Linked DNA regions of Nothobranchius furzeri. The protein of the gene in region 1 binds, or shares a complex with, the protein of each later gene. Links are inferred from orthologs where the notes say so. Each region holds a gene or a part of one and is shown on either strand. Other genes may lie near its edges.

What was found.
Region 2: kif11 (region 1) and mysm1 share a complex: the UniProt entries of both Homo sapiens proteins name them as parts of the large chromatin remodeling complex. The link is inferred for Nothobranchius furzeri from reciprocal best matches to the Homo sapiens genes KIF11 and MYSM1.

The regions. Positions count from the first base shown.
Region 1 is NC_091752.1:45,732,945-45,742,064, forward strand, and holds part of kif11 (kinesin-like protein KIF11), read left to right. Parts: intron 1-49; coding exon 50-123; intron 124-205; coding exon 206-320; intron 321-505; coding exon 506-577; intron 578-1,881; coding exon 1,882-2,017; intron 2,018-2,404; coding exon 2,405-2,577; intron 2,578-7,277; coding exon 7,278-7,403; intron 7,404-7,493; coding exon 7,494-7,643; intron 7,644-7,782; coding exon 7,783-7,922; intron 7,923-9,120. UniProt on the Homo sapiens protein: Motor protein required for establishing a bipolar spindle and thus contributing to chromosome congression during mitosis. Required in non-mitotic cells for transport of secretory proteins from the Golgi complex to the cell surface.
Region 2 is NC_091748.1:42,203,628-42,213,537, reverse strand, and holds the start of mysm1 (histone H2A deubiquitinase MYSM1), read left to right. Parts: upstream 1-4,084; 5' UTR 4,085-4,103; coding exon 4,104-4,216; intron 4,217-4,595; coding exon 4,596-4,668; intron 4,669-4,771; coding exon 4,772-4,842; intron 4,843-6,407; exon of another isoform or gene 6,408-6,489; coding exon 6,490-6,564; intron 6,565-6,651; coding exon 6,652-6,736; intron 6,737-6,866; coding exon 6,867-6,965; intron 6,966-7,040; coding exon 7,041-7,509; intron 7,510-7,591; coding exon 7,592-7,814; intron 7,815-8,009; coding exon 8,010-8,140; intron 8,141-8,218; coding exon 8,219-8,322; intron 8,323-8,397; coding exon 8,398-8,475; intron 8,476-8,564; coding exon 8,565-8,647; intron 8,648-8,715; coding exon 8,716-8,770; intron 8,771-9,910. UniProt on the Homo sapiens protein: Metalloprotease with deubiquitinase activity that plays important regulator roles in hematopoietic stem cell function, blood cell production and immune response.

The DNA.
Region 1 (9,120 bases):
CAGTTTTTTCTCCCATCGCTGCACCGTTCATGATGCGATTCCTCTGCAGGTGACCGAGCTGTTTGAGGACAGCCAAACCAAACTGGAGCAGTGCACCGCTGACCTGGATGAGAAGCATAAGAGGTATTTCATTCCACAGGCTGAAATCAGACCGCAGAGGACTCTGATCGGAGTTTTCTGGAATTTATGAGTTTATCGGCTTTAGGCTGGAGGAGACGAGCAAAGACCTGCAGCAGACCAAGGAGAAGCTGGTTGAGGAGGAGTTCATCTGCTCAGAGGTCACTTCTGTCCACGAGTCTCTGTACAACACAGCTGGACAGGTGTGTCTCTAAGCCAAACACCTAACATCCTGTTTTCTCACTTCTCGTCTCTTATGAGTTAGAATCACTTTCATGATTTTGAAATTAAAAAATTTTCCCTAAAATTTCCAGTTTCTCAATTTTAAATGTTTCCACTGAGTGATTTTTAAACGTGTCTGACCCCACCCTCTCCTCCATGCTTCCAGCTGCTGAGCACTGCCGACGCCAGCACCAGAGACGTGTCGGGTCTCCACGACAAGCTGGACAGGAAGAAAAAGGTCAAACAGATTCACACACAAGCAATCGTCAGTCGTTAGTAGTGAGTCAAAATAAACACGATGAAGAGAATTTATAATTGGTTGTATTGTCACGTTCAGAGGTCATGTTGTAAAAATGTCTAATCAAAAAAAGCCAAATCTTCATGGGGAAAAGCAACTGGTTCTGTCTGATGTCCCTCCTCGCTTGTGGTATTTTCAGGATGAGGGAGAACATTAAAAACATTTCTCTGGAAAGAACCACAGATTCTAAATTACCTCCAGACTAGAACCGTCCACCATAGAGCAGTATTAAACCCGAGGGCAGGGCGTTCACCTGGACGGTAAATGCCCAAAGTGGGCCACTAGATGTGGCTTTGGCAGAATAATTGCTCCACTGCTAGTGTTATTAATTTCCCCCACAACCTGTTTGTTGTTTTATTCTCTACTTAAAACGGTAAAAATAAGGATTTGTCTTTAAGATGTATTAGTACATCTGAAAAAAGGAAAGTAAAATTACTTTTTCAAAAGCTTTGTCCCTTCTGAACCCAAAATATTACCAAACAGCTCAAACATTTCTTTTGAGAACGAGCTTCTTGATCAGATCTAACCCCCCCCCACCCCCAACCACCACACACACACACACACACACACATGACTTTCAACTTTTTGAAGAGGTCCTTTTACTGAAAAAAAAACTGCTTTAATCAATTCTGATTGTACTCTTGAGTTTTTCATGCAGGCTGAACATGAAAATAGTCTCCTACATCTGTCTCCTGCATTAGCTTCTGACAGAAAGTAGACGATGAAACTAGGATTAGAAAATCCTGACAGATCTACGTCACACTGTCACTTAACATTCATGGACTCACCCATCTTGATTACGACGGGGAAGGCTGCTGTTGGTTTAGCGACCAGGAAATGGCAGAGAACGTCCCAACTACTTTATGCTAACCGTTAGCATTAGCAACTCCACCACACAGCAGAACTCCAGGCTTGTATTTGTGGGAATGAAACGTGCATGTTGCAAAGCTAACGGAGTCAGTGGTAGGGTCGTGTTGCTGTTACCCAGTCGGAGATGAGATGTCCAAATATTAGGAAATAAAACTCTAAATCCTGCCGTCTGACGCTACTTTCTCCTCAGGCTGAATCGTCCATGCTGAAACGAGCATCTGAGCTTTTTTCCATAGAGTTTGACTTAGAAGGCATCTATTTCCACTAGATGACCACTGCACGTGTATTAAAATACGAGAGAAGTTCCTCATATTGGTTGTTAGACTCAGTGCTTGATGTTTCAGCCGGACTAATAAACTTGTGTTGACTTGCAGGTGGAGAATCACAACAAACAGATGCAGCAAAGCTTTGCTGAGCGGATGGATGGAGCCTTGAGCAGCATGCAACGCTGCGTCCACCGTCACGGAGCCAAACACAACGAGCTGCTCAGCAGCTGCTCACAGGCTGTTGGTACGATCAAAGCACCAAGGGTGCTCATGGGTCTGCACGTACGACTGGTGTTCAGGCATAAACGTCTGTTCATGTGGTCCATTCAGCTTCTCCACTCGGATCAAAAGTTTTGTTTGGTTAGCTCTGAGTCTGATTAGAATAAAGCACCTGTTGGCTTATAGTTGGACAAAACCAGTGTTCCCAGTTTGGGAACAAATTCATATTTAAGCAACATTACTTTTCAGTTCAGTCCTGTTTTGATGTTTCTGAGCTCGTTTTTAGTTGATGAAACGAATCATGTTTCAGTTTAATTATTCCTCAGGTTTATTTTAATATTTAACCTTTGACCCAGAACTGTCATCGGGGACCCTGAGTAACCCCTACCCACTTTGTTCCTCCCACCTACAGACGGTCTGCTCATGATGAATGAGGTGGCGCTGAAAAGCACCGTCACCACCATGGAGTCGCTTGTAGGCGGAGTCAGGTCGGTGGTGGCTGAGGGCGTGGCTCGCTGTCGGGAGAAGCTCCAGCAGCATGAATCGGTGTGTCTGCAGGACAAGGAGAGTCTGCTGCAGCTGCTGGTGAGGCCCTCATGATCATTCATAACAGGCTTTCTTTAAATCAACCCGTCAGGTTGACTCGGTTCGGGTTCTGTCTCTGGTTAGACCTGCAGCGCTCAGCACTACATAATGGCGGGCCGGTATTTCCTGCTCTAAATATGGAGGACACGTCTCTCTCTGAAAAATGTTGATGGCACGCCGATGGCGTGGTTAAAAAAGCTAAATGTATTCCACTTAAGGCTGAGCAATATGGCCTAAAATCAATATCATGATTAATTGAGGATTTCACCTCTAGAACGATACATTTTTGTTTTATTGCCCAGCCCTAATTCCACTATAATCGATTATGGCATGCTTCTTCTACGATTAAGAATAATTTATGTTGATGCATCAATTATTTAATTGTTTTCTTCAAATCAATTAGAACTCAAACAACTAATCAGTTTAATCGATTATTAAAATGGTAGACAACTTATTTAGTCATTGATTAGTTGTTTTATAATCACGTTTTACCATAAGCAGTCTATTTTTTAAAACTACTGTTACATCGTTTACAGCAGGGGTGTCAAACATGCGGCCCGCGGGCCGGATCTGGCCCGCATGCGGGTTAAATCCGGCCCGCGAGATGGTTGTGTAAACTTTATTTTCATACTTTACAATGTAGAGTGAAAATGAACTTATCTTTGTGAGCAAGTTTTCTCTGTAATGAGTATAAATAAAACAAAGCTGCGCTCAAGGCCCACACAAGAACTTGAATCACATCCTGAAGATGGCCGCCACTCAGGATGTGACTTCTGATGTTGATGTGCTGGTGAAAGCTAAAATATGTAAAGTAAAATGAGTCAAATATACTTTAAGTGCTGCATAAAACTGATCTTGCCATGTGATCTGTAAGCTCTGAATCACTAAGGAATGTTTTTTTTTATTTGTTTTTTTAATTTTCTATTTTTTCAAATTTTCAAGTACACTTCAGGTGTTGTACTTGTACTACACTGTCCTCAGGCTCCAGCCTTGTTTTATATTGATTGTATTAAAACAAAGAAAACAATCTGAAGTTTTTTTTTATGTACCGGTCCGGCCCACTTGGGACTAGATTTCCCTCAATGTGGCCCCTGAGCTAAAATGAGTTCGACACCCCTGGTTTACAGTCTGTTAAATTTACGGCTAGTGTGTGGCAGTAATGAGCCACTAATCTACCAGTGAAGCAGCAGAAGAAGAAATCGGCCAATAGTACCCTTTGTTCTTCGTGACGTACCACGCACAAGGCTGATGCCATGCTCACACTGAGGAAAATAGCAGACCAAGAAACAGAAATGATAAACCTGAAGAAGAAATCCTGAACAGAAACATCTAAAGGTTGAGAGTGCTTCACTCTAGATGCTGTGAAAAGACGGGTGATCTGCTAAATATACACAAAGGATCTAGCATGGCACAGAAGCACGACTTCTCTAAATGAAAATCTGAGATGAAAACTTTTGAAAGTTGATGCAGCGGAAGAGCCAGCCCAGTAGGTAACTTATACCTAGTTAGAAAATAAACACTAATTACAGCAGTCCCTCACTATAATGCGGATCACTTATTGTGACTTTGCTGAGTTTGTTGTACAATTTTACGCTGCATCTTTGTAGCGTACTAACGTTCATTGTGTCCTACCGCTGACTGACTAGATACAATTATGAATCTCCACCGTGTCGTGTATCCCGCGCTTGCCAAATTTAGCACGTCTGTTTATAAGAATGTTCTCCATAGAAAAACAACACAAACCCATAACTATGTTCCTCGCTCAAATAAGGACAACTGTGTGGAAAAGGATGTAGGCGAGCAGAGTGCGGATGAATTAAACGTGGTATAGTTATACTTGTATGCTTTAAAATCTACAAAGGTTTTAACTTTGAGTCTTTAAACAAGCAAGAAATATGAGAAATGTTTATTTTGTCTAAGGAACATGTTTAAGTGTGTTGCGAGGTGTTTCACAGCCTTTAAACATACACCAAATATCGAACATCCCCCCTTTCCAAGAGGAAAAGACCAAAAAAATCACTTTTTAAATTAACAATTCTTATTGAAAATTTGAGAACAAATACTGAGCAAAAATACTATTTTAATGCAAACTATCAGAATTTTGCTGACATGTGAACTCAAAAGTCGAATGAGGCTTTTATTCAGACGCCCTCTGCCTCACTGTCCTCACTCATGCTGCTGCGGGGTGTACCATCAGATCGCTACACCAGCAGACTCCTCCCAGAACATCATCCTCATTGCTATGCAATACATCCATGCATGCAATGTTTGACGTTTCTGCTGAATTGTTCATCATCTTAAAATTCGCATAATAGCTTGTTAATTTGCCCCACTTTCGGTCCACTCTGCTCCGGACCTCCCATCTCCATTTTTTTTCTCCTGTTGAGAACGCACAGCCTGGTGCCCCCTGCTGTTACGGGCGTGTAATGGTTAGACCTAGATTTGAAAACAACCCCACATTTTAAATTTATTTTCAATGAAAAAAAAAACCTCATATTCGGGTCAATACGGTACTTGCAACAAATAATGAAGACTTCTTTCTGGATTTCTCCTGCTGCGTTTTTTTTTAATTATTATTATTTTATTTTGTAGATTAACAAAAACTGATTAATCGTAAAAATAATCAACAGAATAATCGATTATGAAAATCGTTAGTTGCGGCCCTAAAGTCAATACAGTAGTGCAAAGGCCAATTACTGAAACATACATAGAATCATCCGTAAGGTTGTCACGGTTTGAAAATTTAACCTCGCGGTTATTGTGACCAAAATATCACGATTTTCGGTATTAGTGTTTTTTTTTTATTTATTTATTTATTTTTTTTTTACATGTTATGTTTTCAGACAACTAACTAAACCCTCTATATGAGGAAAATTAGGTTCTCAGTTGATGTCTAAATTTAGCCTAAAATTTGTTTTGTAAAATTCGTTGTTGGTTTTTTCGTTTACATTTTTCCCCTTTTGTCTTTAAAATACCCAAATTTCTCCATAACTTTTTATTTTTACTTTTTCATGTCATCATTTTAAAAATATGAACTAGCTACAACCGGAGTTAACTGTGCACAACACCAGAGCTTCTGAGTCAGAGATACGCCGGGCTGACCGCTGGGTAAAACCGGGTGGAAAACATCGGTCTCCCGAGAGCTCCACAAGCCGATAGTCGAAACTCAGCTCCACCAACATGTTATATTTCAACCCATTTTCTAAAGTGCAGCATTACGTTAAATGCACTGGGTTTTACCCTATTACATTTCAATTTCATGGTTAAACAGTACATGGTAAAATCTAAGTTCAGCTCGGCAGTGACCTAAAATACATAAATATAATTTTACTTACCGAAAAAAAAAATGAAGTGGAGACTCCTTGGACGCTCTAGTAGTGCAATTAATACCACAGCAAGTCATTTTGTCCAACAATTGCACAAAAAATATCCAAAACAGAATACACAAACGCTACAACTAATGGTCTAAGTTGAGAGACTGAAAATGACGGAACAGTTTCCAAGCCAGGCCGAGACTCTACTGAAACCTTTCCACGGAGCTAACTCTGCGGCAGCGACAGTGGAGAGGAAAACTTCCTTTTAACAGGAAGAAACCTCCAGAGTATCCTGGCTCAGTATAAGCAGCCATCCACCACGACTCACTGGGGATCGAGAAGACAGAGCAAACACACCAACACCAGCCCACACAAACACACACAATCAAATCAACCCTTTGCTTACTTATTGTTCTCCAATGCAGACATATATAAACTGTCATGGTCTCCTGCAAAAGCCCTTCTCTCTCTGCTTAAAAGTCAGACCGCTGGATTCCTCACTCTGAATAAAAAAGCGAATCCACACAATCCTACAAGGCTTTACAACTTATAAGTTAATTAATCAAATGGTTGAATGAACAAGATGTTTTTAATAAAATCTATAATTAAACGGGTAAACTAGTAGCAACGCATTCAATGTCAAAGAAAGTAAAATGTTATCAGGAGAGGGAGAATGTTTAAGTGGTTAGCAACAGTGTGCTAGTCGATGGCCCCCTCCATGAGGCCACCACAGCTCAGCAGAACATCACTGTAGCTTCTTCTGGGGAGAAACAAAGATCTGTGGTGCAACACAAGCAATTAATCCGCGTGTTTCCACAAGTACAGACTTGAACACTGAATGACACGGAAACATTTCTGCAATAATCAGATTTATATTTTACGTCCACAAAAATAAAAAAATTTGACATATTACAGAAAACGGTGACTGCGTGTCATCTCATTTTAAAGCTCATTAGTTAGGCCATCATTAAGTCAAGCGGGATGGCTTACTGGCTACTAAGCTTCCAGGCGAGCATCTTTCAAATGCGTCAGGAGCTACTGGTTTTTCACGAGCGACATGTTGGAGACCCCTGTTTTAGACCTTTTGAAGCAAGTAGATCAAAAAGCAACAAGTCTGTGTGCAGCTTCCCCTTGCTGCCTGCGTACTGTGTTCATATGCAACAACAGAGTGGTTCCTCCTGCTTCTTTGTAGGCATGGTGCAGCGCCACGGTAAAGCCTATGCACAAGAAACACTGGTGTGTGTGTGTGTGTGTGTGTGCTAACCTGCTGACAGACTCTCCAACTTTCTGTTGAGTTGAATTTGTTTCTTCAGGAGTCGACGCCCCTTCAGCGTTTCTCCAGGCATTCACTGTTTTTATTGAGGATCATTTAATGAACTTTTTTAGGAGGAGCATCAGCAGGACATGGAGGATGTCCTGGCTGCTCGGACTCTGATGGGTTTATCTGCTGTCAACGAGCTGAGTGATGTTCTGAGGTCCTCCGTGGAGAAGCAGCGAGCTCTGGCTGACAAGGTGAGTCCAGACCTGCCCGTCCTCACAAATGAGGCAGAGTTTTAGCTCAGGTGTGGGCAGACCTGAGTATGTTTTCTCATCTTGTTTCAGGTGGAGGAGTCTGTGGGTCTGTTTTTCAACAGTTTGCATCAGGACCTGGACAGTCTTCGGGAGGAGGCCGTCCACAGACTGAGCTCCCTGCAGGACGAACAGGACAAGCTGGAGGACAGGATCAGTCAGGCACAGGAGAGACAACGGCTGGTAAGATTCAACCCCCTTGATCTGTTGGCTTCAGAGCTCTGTGAGTGTCTAACCATCCTGCTGACATGTGAAGTTTATTCTCCTAAACAAGCCTGGATGGCTTCATTATTGGTATAAATCTGAGTGACCTCCTCTCCAGGGTATGCAACAGACCATCCAGTTCCTGCAGGACCAGCTCAACCTGTTGAGCATGCAGAGCCAGCAGGACTACGCCGACCTGAGATCAGCCTCCGAAGCTCTGAAGGCTCCTGCTCTGAGCCTCCAGGAGAGCATATGCAGGTCTGAGCGTCTCAGTCTTATGCCCATCAACTAGGGATGCACCGATAATTTTTGGCCCAAAGGGCATTTTCAATTTTTGGCCGAAACGCCTTAATCACCGAAACGACACAGCTGAAACAGTTTGTCAGGAGAACCCCGTTTTTGTTTCACCTCGCTCTGCCCTCATGTGGCTACTTGCTCTTTGCTTCGTGAACATGGTACATTCGTACTGACTTCAAAGGGAGCACTTTTCCCCTTTAGTCGTGCTGTTTTATTACGGTCGCCGGAAGATTCAAATCAATTATGTGACGCACTTTTTACTTTCAGTTTCACATCCACCGCACCTGCCCGGCTTGCGTTTACGCTCCCACTACGTACCATCCTTTCTACACCCACCATGTCCTGAGAACGGTTAAATAAGCTTTGGATTGTGTGTGTGTGAATCGTGTTTACTGTCATGAAGCACACAGGCTCTGTTAGTGCTGCACAGCAGCGTCAACTTGTTCTTCACTGGACGAGTTAATATTTTATTCAGAGGTTGAATATTCCTCTTCAGAATCAGTCAGCCATTAGCAAACAACGAGCTTTGTCAACAATGAACCCACCTGTCAGTGTCATCATATAATAATAGTCACCCTCTGAGCTCCTCTCATCTCCTCTCCTCAGTTGGGAGTCTCTGGGGCAGTTTTCCAAACTCTAAACTCCAAAAATCTCAATAGAAACACCCAAAAGTGTTGCTCAGATTGAAGTTCATGAGGGATTATATTTGCAGCTGTGGATTGTTAAGCGCAAAATTGCAGCTTTGGTGCTTAAAAGGTTCATTTTACAGTCAAATTGTTATGGCTCGAATCTATATAATTAAAATAAACGTGGTTGGCTCCGAGGCCGGAAGCGTTGCCATGGTGACGTTCTGTCCACTCCGCTGCCTTGCAGATCCTAAGCCACAGGTCTCAGATGGCTTGGTCTGGGCTGTTAGCTTCGTAAGTAACGTTGCTTATGTGATTTCTTGAAGCCGGGAACAGGTTCACAGCGCGGAGGTGCAGCTGGTCGTTGGCACCAGAGCTTAACCCTTTTAGCGCCAAGTGTCATTGCTGACTTTAATGAGCCACAGCCACAAATATGATCCCTCATGTTGTTACTACTTTACACCAGAAGATGGTGGAGATGTGTAACTTCAGGCTGAGCTACACTTATAGGTGTGTTTATAGTGAACGTTTTG
Region 2 (9,910 bases), on another chromosome or scaffold:
CATCGACGAGTTTACTCTTTTAGTTTAGAATCTAGTTTAACCTCACAGGTGCAGCAGTCTGCAGGTCTTGTAAACTCGGTGTATCATTCTCCTTACTCTGTTATTTGGGCCGGGCCCAAAACCTTCATGCACACTTGTTCTTATTGGATTCAACATCTGTGATGACTATCAACAGGCCAGAGGCGAACCAGATTCTGTTTTTATTCCTGTGGCTGAGAACTGAGCCAGGACTCTTTATTTTTAAGATGTTGCTGGTTTGTTGTTTGTTAAAGAGAGTTGCTAAAGTGGGGACACATGGGTCCGGGGGTGTGTGTGTGTGTGTGTGTGTGTGTGTGGTTCCAGAGTAGAATGTTTACAATACTTTCACCTGCAGATGATTCTGACAGACCAGTTATATTTATCTATTTATTTATTTAAATCTAGCCTTTTTCTGATGATGGTACTGGTTTGCTGGTCTCCCAGTTCAACACGGTGACAGGAGATTGTTTACGTCAATAGATCTGACGCGTACAATCGCTCAACAACACACTTTTTCTCCTCGTTTTGTCTTTATGCCTCGGCCTGAAGCTCCAGCCATGACGTTTGATATCCAGCAGAAATAATTGAGTATTGATTTTAGAAGCCTTGGGTTTATTGGGAGCAGAGTGCTGCTGTGTCTGGAGCCGTCGGCGTAGTTGGATGGAGTTTTTCTGTCTCGTCTTTGCTTGTTTGCTCGTCTTCTGTGGATGACTTGTTGTAAGTCGCCCCGTTCAAAATGGTGATTCCAAACTCAGTGGGGTGTTCGTGTTTTGTTTTTACAAAATGAAAAGTAAACGATTTGTTTCTACATGTGGTTTCTGACAGGCTGAGTGTGGCTGCAGTTGTGAACACTGACAGAGACAGAACTTGGACAATGTTTCTCCTTTTGTTACTGTTTGATCCTACAGCTCTTCTGTGCTCCCCTCCACCCCCGGCCCTCGTTGCTCTGTGACTGTGAAGAAACCTTTGAATATGTCTGCTTGCATTAACCACTCCATGTTTAAGTAGGAGCATGAAATGCTTTCTTTTTTAACTCTACTCATCTTTGTATGTCCTCACTCTCACATTACACTCCACATGTCACTCGCTGTTGCTGTTTAATTCCATGTGTTCAACCCACTTTGAATGACACGGGGGGGGGGGGGGTGCAGAGGAGATGAATTATTATTGGTTAAAGGGAAAACGGGAATGACGAATCAGATTTGCAACACCATTAATGTGATCACGTTTATTCCACAAGCAGAGCAAACCTGTTTTTCTTTATTTCTCCTACTCTATTGGTGTGTGTGTGTGTGTGTGTGTGTGTGTGTGTGTGTGTGTGTGTGTGTGTGTGTGTGTGTGTGTGTGTGTGTGTGTGTGTGTGTGTGTGTGTGTGTGTGTGTGTGTGTGTGTGTGTGTGTGTGTGTGTGTGTGTGTCGATTAGGAGATTATTTCATATGTGTCGTGTGTGTTTGTGTAAGGAGAAAAACTACTTGGAACCTTTTTATTAAACCCATAACACGGGGAGGAAGCACTTGCAGATATTTGTACACACTCATTCTGCACTTTGTGTGACTCCTCGTGCCTTTTTTCTATGTGAAGTGTGATCGGTTCTTTTCTCTTCCTCCTTTCTGAGTCTGAAGAGCTGCACAGTATTTTTGACCAGGAGTGAGTTACTACAAAAACTGTAGTGCCATTAGAAACTGTGAATTCTTTCTAAATAAAACCTTTTTTTTGTTGTCTTTCACTTTGTGTCTGAATATTATTGCCTGGCCTCCAGTAAATTTTCTGTATACTAATAATAATGATTTATGTGAGGCTTTTCCAGGGAAAAGTGTGGTGTGAAAATTAAAGAAGACAAGTCTGTTGTGTTCTAAGAAACTTTCAGCTAAAAACAAAAAAACAAATCTAACCTGGGACTTTATTTTTTAATTAATTAATTTTAATTATTTTTTGAGAAAAGCAATTTTATTTGTATTTATATTAGTGGTGTGCATCTCTACTTGCCCCACGATTCGATCCGATTCCGATTATGCCTAAAGATTCGATTTGAGTCTGAAATGCATCAAAATTCTTCACCCATTTTTCATGACTTAATAAAAGCAGTAAAATAGTTTTCAATTTCTTTTTATTTCGACATCCCTGAAAAACAGAACATACAGTACATCTATTCACTATAGTGAGCAACAATTTTTAAAGTGTGCTGCCTATAATTACTTAAATAATATAAGAAATGTTTTCTGTAGAGCAGCTTTAAGATGGAATACAACTGAACTTAAAAATAGTAAACAAATACTGTGTTAAGTGATTCTTTCACATCCAGGATCCCAAAACCGAAATTAGCCCAGACATCCGATTTAAATGTAACGGGTACATCTTTGATTACTGGTAATGTTGGCCCCGTATCCCTGTCCGCCTTTTCTGGTTTAAATGGCGCTAGGGCAACGCAGTGCGCATGTCATTGCAACTTTGCCCCCTGAAGTAATTATAAAACCTCAAAACTTTATTGTCCTGCATAGACATAGGGAGAAAATCTCATTATGTCGCATTGCTGCATCGATGCGGAATCATGCACGGCTGAATCGCGATGCATCTTAGAATCGATCATTTTTCCCACCTCTAGTTTATATATATATATAAATACAAATAAAATTATATATATATGTGTGTGTATGTATATATGTCAAGGCGTTCCCTGGCCATGGAACATACTTGTTCAAGCGTGTCCTGGGTCTTCACTGGGTTCTCCTCCCAGTTGAACGTGCCCAGAAAAACTCACCAAGGAGACTCCCAGGAGGCATCCTACTCAGATGCCCAAGTCACCCCAACTGGCTCCTCTCGATGTGAAGGAGCAGTGGATTTACTCCGAGCCCCCTGATGAAGCCAACAGGACCACATCATCTGCAAAAATGAGAGGCCAAACAGAAAATCTATTCTGCCTTTTAGCTATGAAGTCACTGTTAAATATACATACAATTATTACTATCATCATCATTATATGTTTAATGTTCTATAAATTTTATTTGAATTCAACTTGAACAGGCTAACAGAAAAGCTTTCGGACTGTTTCACGGTTCCTCTACAGTTACCACAGCTTAACTCGGGCTCTTTGGACTTCTACAGCGGCTCTGAATAACTTTAATTAAAATTACTTTAAACCATCAGCAGATTCTATAAATATAGACAGGTGTACAATAGAGACTTTTCATTGAATATTTTCCACAACAGAATGACAGTAAAAGTAAGATTTCTAGATCTATTTAAGCTTGATTTTAATTAATTTTACATTACAATAAGCATCCTATTGCTGACTGCACTGTGCGTCTCACGGCAGTGATGCACCTTTGGCGCAAAATGCGGACCTTCGTGGAGAGCGTGTCCTATCGGGAGTGGCTGCGCTGGGCACGGACTGTGGACGGCTGATGTTGGAGGGAAAGATATTTTTTTAGAACTCGGAGATTTCGACTAATAAATGACCCGAAAAACTACCAGTGCTCACCGCCAAGAAAAAAGTATTAAAAAAAAGGTATGCCGAGAGGTCAGAGTTTGAAGTGGCGATGCACGTTGCTGCAAACCGAACCCACTTGAAGCACATTTTTCAGTCCAAATACTCAGACTTCGGTCCATATATTCAGACTTTCAGTCCATATATTCAGAATTTCAGTCCATATATTCATACTTCGGTCTATATATTCACACTTTCAGTCCAAATATTCAAACTTCGGTCCATATATTCACACTTTCAGTCCATATATTCACACTTTCAGTCCATATATTCACACTTTCAGTCCATATATTCACACTTTCAGTCCATATATTCATACTTCGGTCCAAATATTCACACTTTGGTCCATATATTCAGAAGTATTCTGGTATAAATATATAATGATTTCCTGAACGCCATGCCATAACATATATATATATATATATGTGTGTGTGTGTGTGTGTGTGTGTGTGTGTGTGTGTGTGTGTGTGTGTGTGTGTGTGTGTGTAAGATAAACAGGCTTAAATGTAAACAGGCTAATCCAGAGACAGACCGTTGACATCAATGTTAACCGAACAGTCGTTCATCCGAGCCACATGGTGGCGCTGTGGCTCAACGTGGTATGTGTTTCTCACCAAAGCGGCGCAGACTAATGTTATGTTTACGTCTGTCCGACAACATGGAGGACGACGTGGATGTTGACATCGAGGGAGACGATTTTGATTGTAATGTCCGGTAAGAATGCTGACTAACTCTGGGTAAACAGTGTGTCTGCGAACCACAGGAGCCATGTGTTACCGTTCAATTAGCTGGGAGAGGCTCTTTGACTATTAGCCTTAGCTTTGCTATCTGTTGTAGACCTGCTTCTTATCTTACTGATTATTTTTGTTGTTTTATCATTTGATTTTTCTGCTAGTTTGTTTAAAGCACCTTTGGTTTTGTATCTTCAAAGGTGCTACAACTTTAAAAAAAGACTTACCACTTCGAAGCTAGCTAGCTGTCTGTATGGCATGGAGTAGAGAGAGAGAGAGTTAGTGCGCGCGCGTGTGTGTGTGCGTTTCTTTGTTTATTTCACATCTGGAATTAATAGCTGCTTGTTTTCATGCTGTTTCAGTGAGATAGACGAAGGAGGTGTAATCCAGGATCAGTTCGTCCAGTCTGTGGGCAAAAGCAGCTCCTGGATCCTGGTATGAATTCTCACACAGCTGTTCAGGCAGATCGTGTGTGTGTGTGTGTGTGTGTGTGTGTGTGTGTTGGTCCTGGTCCTGATTCTGTGTGCTGTTTGAACAGCCCTGGGAACTGGACAGCTCCATCAGCCCTGAGAACAGAGAGGTGATAGAGAGGATGCTGCTGGAGGAACAGTATCCTTTCATCATTCCCCCAAAGGGTTCAGAGAGATTATTTTGATATAAAACAACTTTCTGCATTCTTCTGTTTGTTTTTGTGTTTGCACACACATTAATTAGGCACTTGTCTGTGTGAAGATGACACAGAAACCTCCTCCTCATCATCATATCATCAGCAGGCTGATGAGTCAGAAAGCTTCTGTGCCACTAAGTGGTGTTTTTTCAGCCTATTTATTTTTAAGTTGTTATCTCAACACTTAAAGGGGTAATAGAATATAAAGCTGCATTTACCTTGTTGATAAAGGAACCTTGGGGTGTCAAATGTGGCATACCAAAAAGTCAGTCATGTTTGACCTGCTCTCTGTGTAAATTAGTCATCTTAAAAAGGTGAAGGGGGGACGGTTGATTCTGATAAAAGTTGGTTGTAACAAGTAAACTATACACACCTGCTGCTTTGCATATTCCAACCCACTTTAGTGTCAGCAATACAACCTCTGGTCACGTTAATGCTAACCGCAGAACAACACTAGGCTGAGCTACTACTAACGTCTTTGATGGGGGGGGGGGGGGGGGGAATGCAAGAAGCTGGTTGAAGCACTCATGTTCCAGGATGTACTGGGACACTTAGTCTCCTCAACAAACCATCGCACCACAACCTACAGAGCAGTCGCTTGACTTAACACTAACTTCCTCCGCACGTCACCGCTTTACAACAGGCAAGATGGTCACTCAGCTGGACACTAACACCCCCCCCCACACACACACACACACACACACACCCTCACACACACATGCACACACACACACGCCCTCACACACGCACACAGAAAGAAAGCAAGGAGTTTAGTAATAGAAGAGCACGTCAAGCATCATGCAGAGGACATCCGGTGCTCCGACAGCCCATGGGACATCAAATGGAGAGGATAAAGTATGGCTGAAGTAAACTGGTCCTTAATACTTTAATTGGTGCAAAACAAACAGAACTTGTGTTTCGACAGCTTATGTCTTTTTCAGAGAACTCTGAAGTTTGTCTTGCACCAATTAAAGTATTAAGGACCAGTTTGCTCCAACGATACTTTATCCTCTACAAAGGAAAGAGTTTATAGCTCCAAGTGATGCGTAACCATTGGGGTAAAACAAACAGCAACTCATTTCATATTCATATCCTGACCAAGTGGGTGAGGTAAACCAGTCTTTTCATTGTAGCACAAATTCATGGGTTTGAATTTGGCCATTAATCAGGGCTCCTGGGCCATTGTGAGCCCCAGCAAAGTTTGTCAAGCTACACAGAGGCTCAAAGTAGTGGTTCCAGTTGTAAAGAAACAGTGTTCTACTGCCACTTTAAACAGGAAAGAAATGAGTGTAATACAAACAGGAAGTAACAAACTAAATCAAACAGGTGTTTGGAGTAGTAATAACAATAAACAGTAGAATAGAGAATGAAGTTCATTGTTACTGATTAATCAGTCTGATCCAGATAAAACACACTAAACATTTTTTCTTTTGAGTATAAAATAACTAAAGAAATGTTTACATTAACTAGGGTTCATTTTTTTCTCCCTTTTTGTTGTTACCTATAGCTTAAAATGTTTTAGTCAACAGCTCACATAAAGGAAAACATGGACTAAAGCAGATAGCAGACATCCTGAACTGTGACTTCAGATATTACCTCACAGGTAAGGCGGTTCCTGACAACATTCTGCACAGTGATTCTAACAAAAAGCCTAAAGTGAAGAAGTAAGTCTCTCTGCATTTCTCCTTATCTGTTCACTGATTCCTGAGTCTGTTGGTAAGTATTGATTCTCCTTTCTGTTGAACGATAAGGTCTCTATCCAAGAACTCAACCTCAATGTCCGCTTCATCGTCTCGCTGGTCAAAACAGGAAAAGGAGCGCTTTGAGGAAGGATTGGTGAGGTTTTTTTTTTTACTCAGCTGAGCTGAATGTCTGAAATTAAGATTATAATCTGCTGTTTTGTTGCAGGTTCAGATAATTTTTCAAGAAACTGATTTTCTCTTTTTTCTTTTATTTATTTTTGCAGGCCCAATTTGGTCGAAGGTGGACTAAAATTGCCAAGCTGGTGGGCACCCGTAGTGTTCTTCAGGTCAAGAGTTATGCCAGACAGCATTTCAAGCAAAAGGTGAACTGTCTTCGTTGCTTAGCTGGATGTGCAAACACATCTTTTATTTACTTTTCTTTTGTATTCCCACTTAAGGATAAACCCGAACCCAAAGCTGCTGCTTCGTCTGCAGGTCCTGACCTGCACTCACACCCTCCTCCGCCAGCCTCCGTCTGTGCTTCTGTTCTGTCCAACGCTGTTCGCATAGAGAGACTTTCTGACGATGAGGATGTAGACATCACTGATAACCAGAGTGAGGATGAAGGGAGAGTTGTCCAAACTGGATTCTGTGATTCAGAAGAGCCTAAAGAAGAACAAACAGAATCAGACCTGAGTGAGGGGGAGAACGTTCATGAGACAGAGGACCAACCCTGCCAGAGCTCTCTTCCTCTACAAAGTCCTCTGGGCTTTTCTGATTTAGTTTGCAATGATGAAGGTGACAAACTGAGGATAACTGAGAAGGCTATAGAGACAGAAACCCCTCCAGAGGAGACGGCTGAGGCAAACGAAGGTCAGAGTTCTCTGTGTGACATTCAGCTAGGTGAAGATGATCACACCTGCACAGGTGATCCACTATCAGTTTTTCTTTTTTGCTTATTGAATTATTATTTGTGTTCATCTGTAAAATAAAATGTATTGCCTCGTAGACTCTAATGATAAGATTGAAAATTACGAATCGGAAAAGGAGCTGGAGGAAGACTATGAAGACGAGGAAGAGGAGGAGCTCAAAGCCCCTGAGCGAGAAATTCAGATGGACACAGAGACGATCACTGAGGACGAGAAACAAGCCATCCCAGAGTTCTTTGAGGGACGACCGTCCAAAACCCCAGAAAGATATCTTAAGATTAGAAACTACATCCTGGATCAGTGGTACCACAAACACACACACCTACACTAAAGTCACAGAATGAGAAGTTATGAGACCAGCAAAGGAATAGCTCTGATGTTGTTGAACAAGCAGGTCCAGTTTGATGATTCCCAGTTGGGGAAGGAAGGATGGCTGGTAGTTTCCAGGTTGAGAACGGACTTCTACAGAAGTGACTTTTTATGTTTTGTGTCCATTAGGCTGAAAAATAAACCCAAGTACCTCAACAAGACCTCAGTCCGTCCTGGTCTGAAGAACTGTGGGGATGTCAACTGCATCGGGAGAATACACACCTACCTGGAGCTCATTGGGGCAATCAACTTCAACTGTGGTAACCCCCCCCCCCTCCCATGTTTACTCCTGTTGTTGTGTTTCCCTCTAACATTTGTTGATGTTTGAATCCTTGTAGAGCAAGCAGTGTATAATCGCCCCAAAGTGGTGGACCGCTCCAAACACAAGGAGGGCAAAGACGTGCTGGAAGCCTATCAGCTGGCTCAGAGACTCCAGAGTATGGTAGGAACACGCTAAAGCACCAAACCGTCACCACCAAGGTGTGGCAGACTCGAGCTAACGTTTGATGGTTTGTAGCGGACCAGGAGGAGGCGTGTGCGCGACATCTGGGGGAACTGGTGTGATGCTAAAGATTTGGAAGGACAGACATACGAGGTTTGGACTTTGAAACATGAAAAAACTTCCACCTGGCTGAATTGACAAGGGTCTTTCTGCTGATTGTATTTGTGCAATGTGTTTATTAGCATCTCGGTGCTAAGGAGCTCGCTTTGAGGAGGGAGGAGATGAGGAAGCACCCTAAACCCTGCAAGATGTCAAAATACAGATGGTGAGCAACGTAATGGAAGAAGTAATAAACTATGAATAAACATTACTGATGATTTACTCCTCTGTTAGGTCTTTAGATCCATTCCAGCTGATTCCCTGCAGGTCGTTTGAAGACGACGTACAGGTCAGCAGTCCTCACCGAGTTACCAGTTAGGCTGTTGTTTGTATGCGTTTGGTACGCTGTGATAAGATTGAAATACTTTTTTGTTTTCTGCTTCTCAGAGATCAAATCATTTTACAGGCTATGTGTTTGCAAAAATGCTCAAGGTTCACTTTAATACGTGTCGGCCAAAACGACCTAACATTTAGGTGTAAATCAGCAGGAAGTTGCAAATTTACCACAATCGTTTCGTCCTCATTGGTAAGCTGGGCTGGAAACCTGTTTCCTCCAGAGAGAGCCGCAGCCTCAGTGCCTTCGCTCGATCGCTGTTGTACGCAGGTTGGAGGGAGAGCGAGGGAGTGAAGCACATTGACTCCTACCTTTGGTGACCTTGCCAGGCTAAGACCACAAATCTAAAGGCAGGGGTAGGGCGGGTTTCCACAGCATCTGTCTGCATTCCTTCGTGGAGGAGTTTTCTTCTCGCAGCTCAAGGCTACCAGGGCACCAGAGTGAAGAATTGTTTTGGGGAAGGTAGAGATAATTTCCTCTCTGCCTTTCAGTTCTTAACTGATCTTCAGTCTCTCAGCAAATCCAATTATTGGGTTTAAAGTTGCCTGTACCGTGCAGTGACTTTCTCCAAGATCACATCCATTTTGTGCGCTAACTCTGGGATCGCAGCTTGGACCTCTAACTTGTGATTCCCCTTGAGCTGCGTCCCAGTCTGAGCAGTCTCCACACGGCTGAGACTTTCGGTGGGTACGGGTGGCACTCCAATCGCCCCTGAATTCCCAATTTTCCAAAATACCACAAATCATCCCATTCCAATTGGAAAAAAATCCAGTAAATATCAGGCCAATAATCCATATGTCTTCAACGTCCTCCACAGACAGCTGAGAAAGGCATATAATATTCCACTGCTTCCAGGAATCCAGAATATACCCCACTGGGTGCGATCCATCCGGACAAGCTGAGACCCCCACTCTGTTCTCACTGTTGAAAAAAAAATCTTGTCAATCCTGTTGAATGACCAGTCGACCAAATCCATGATTTAATAAAATATCGAGTTTACAGAAGGAATGCAGAGAAGCGCTCTGTAGACAGACAGGACAAGAGCCGTGAGAAAAGAGGAGCGTCTGCACTCTTCGGGTGGCAGAAGAAGGCTGT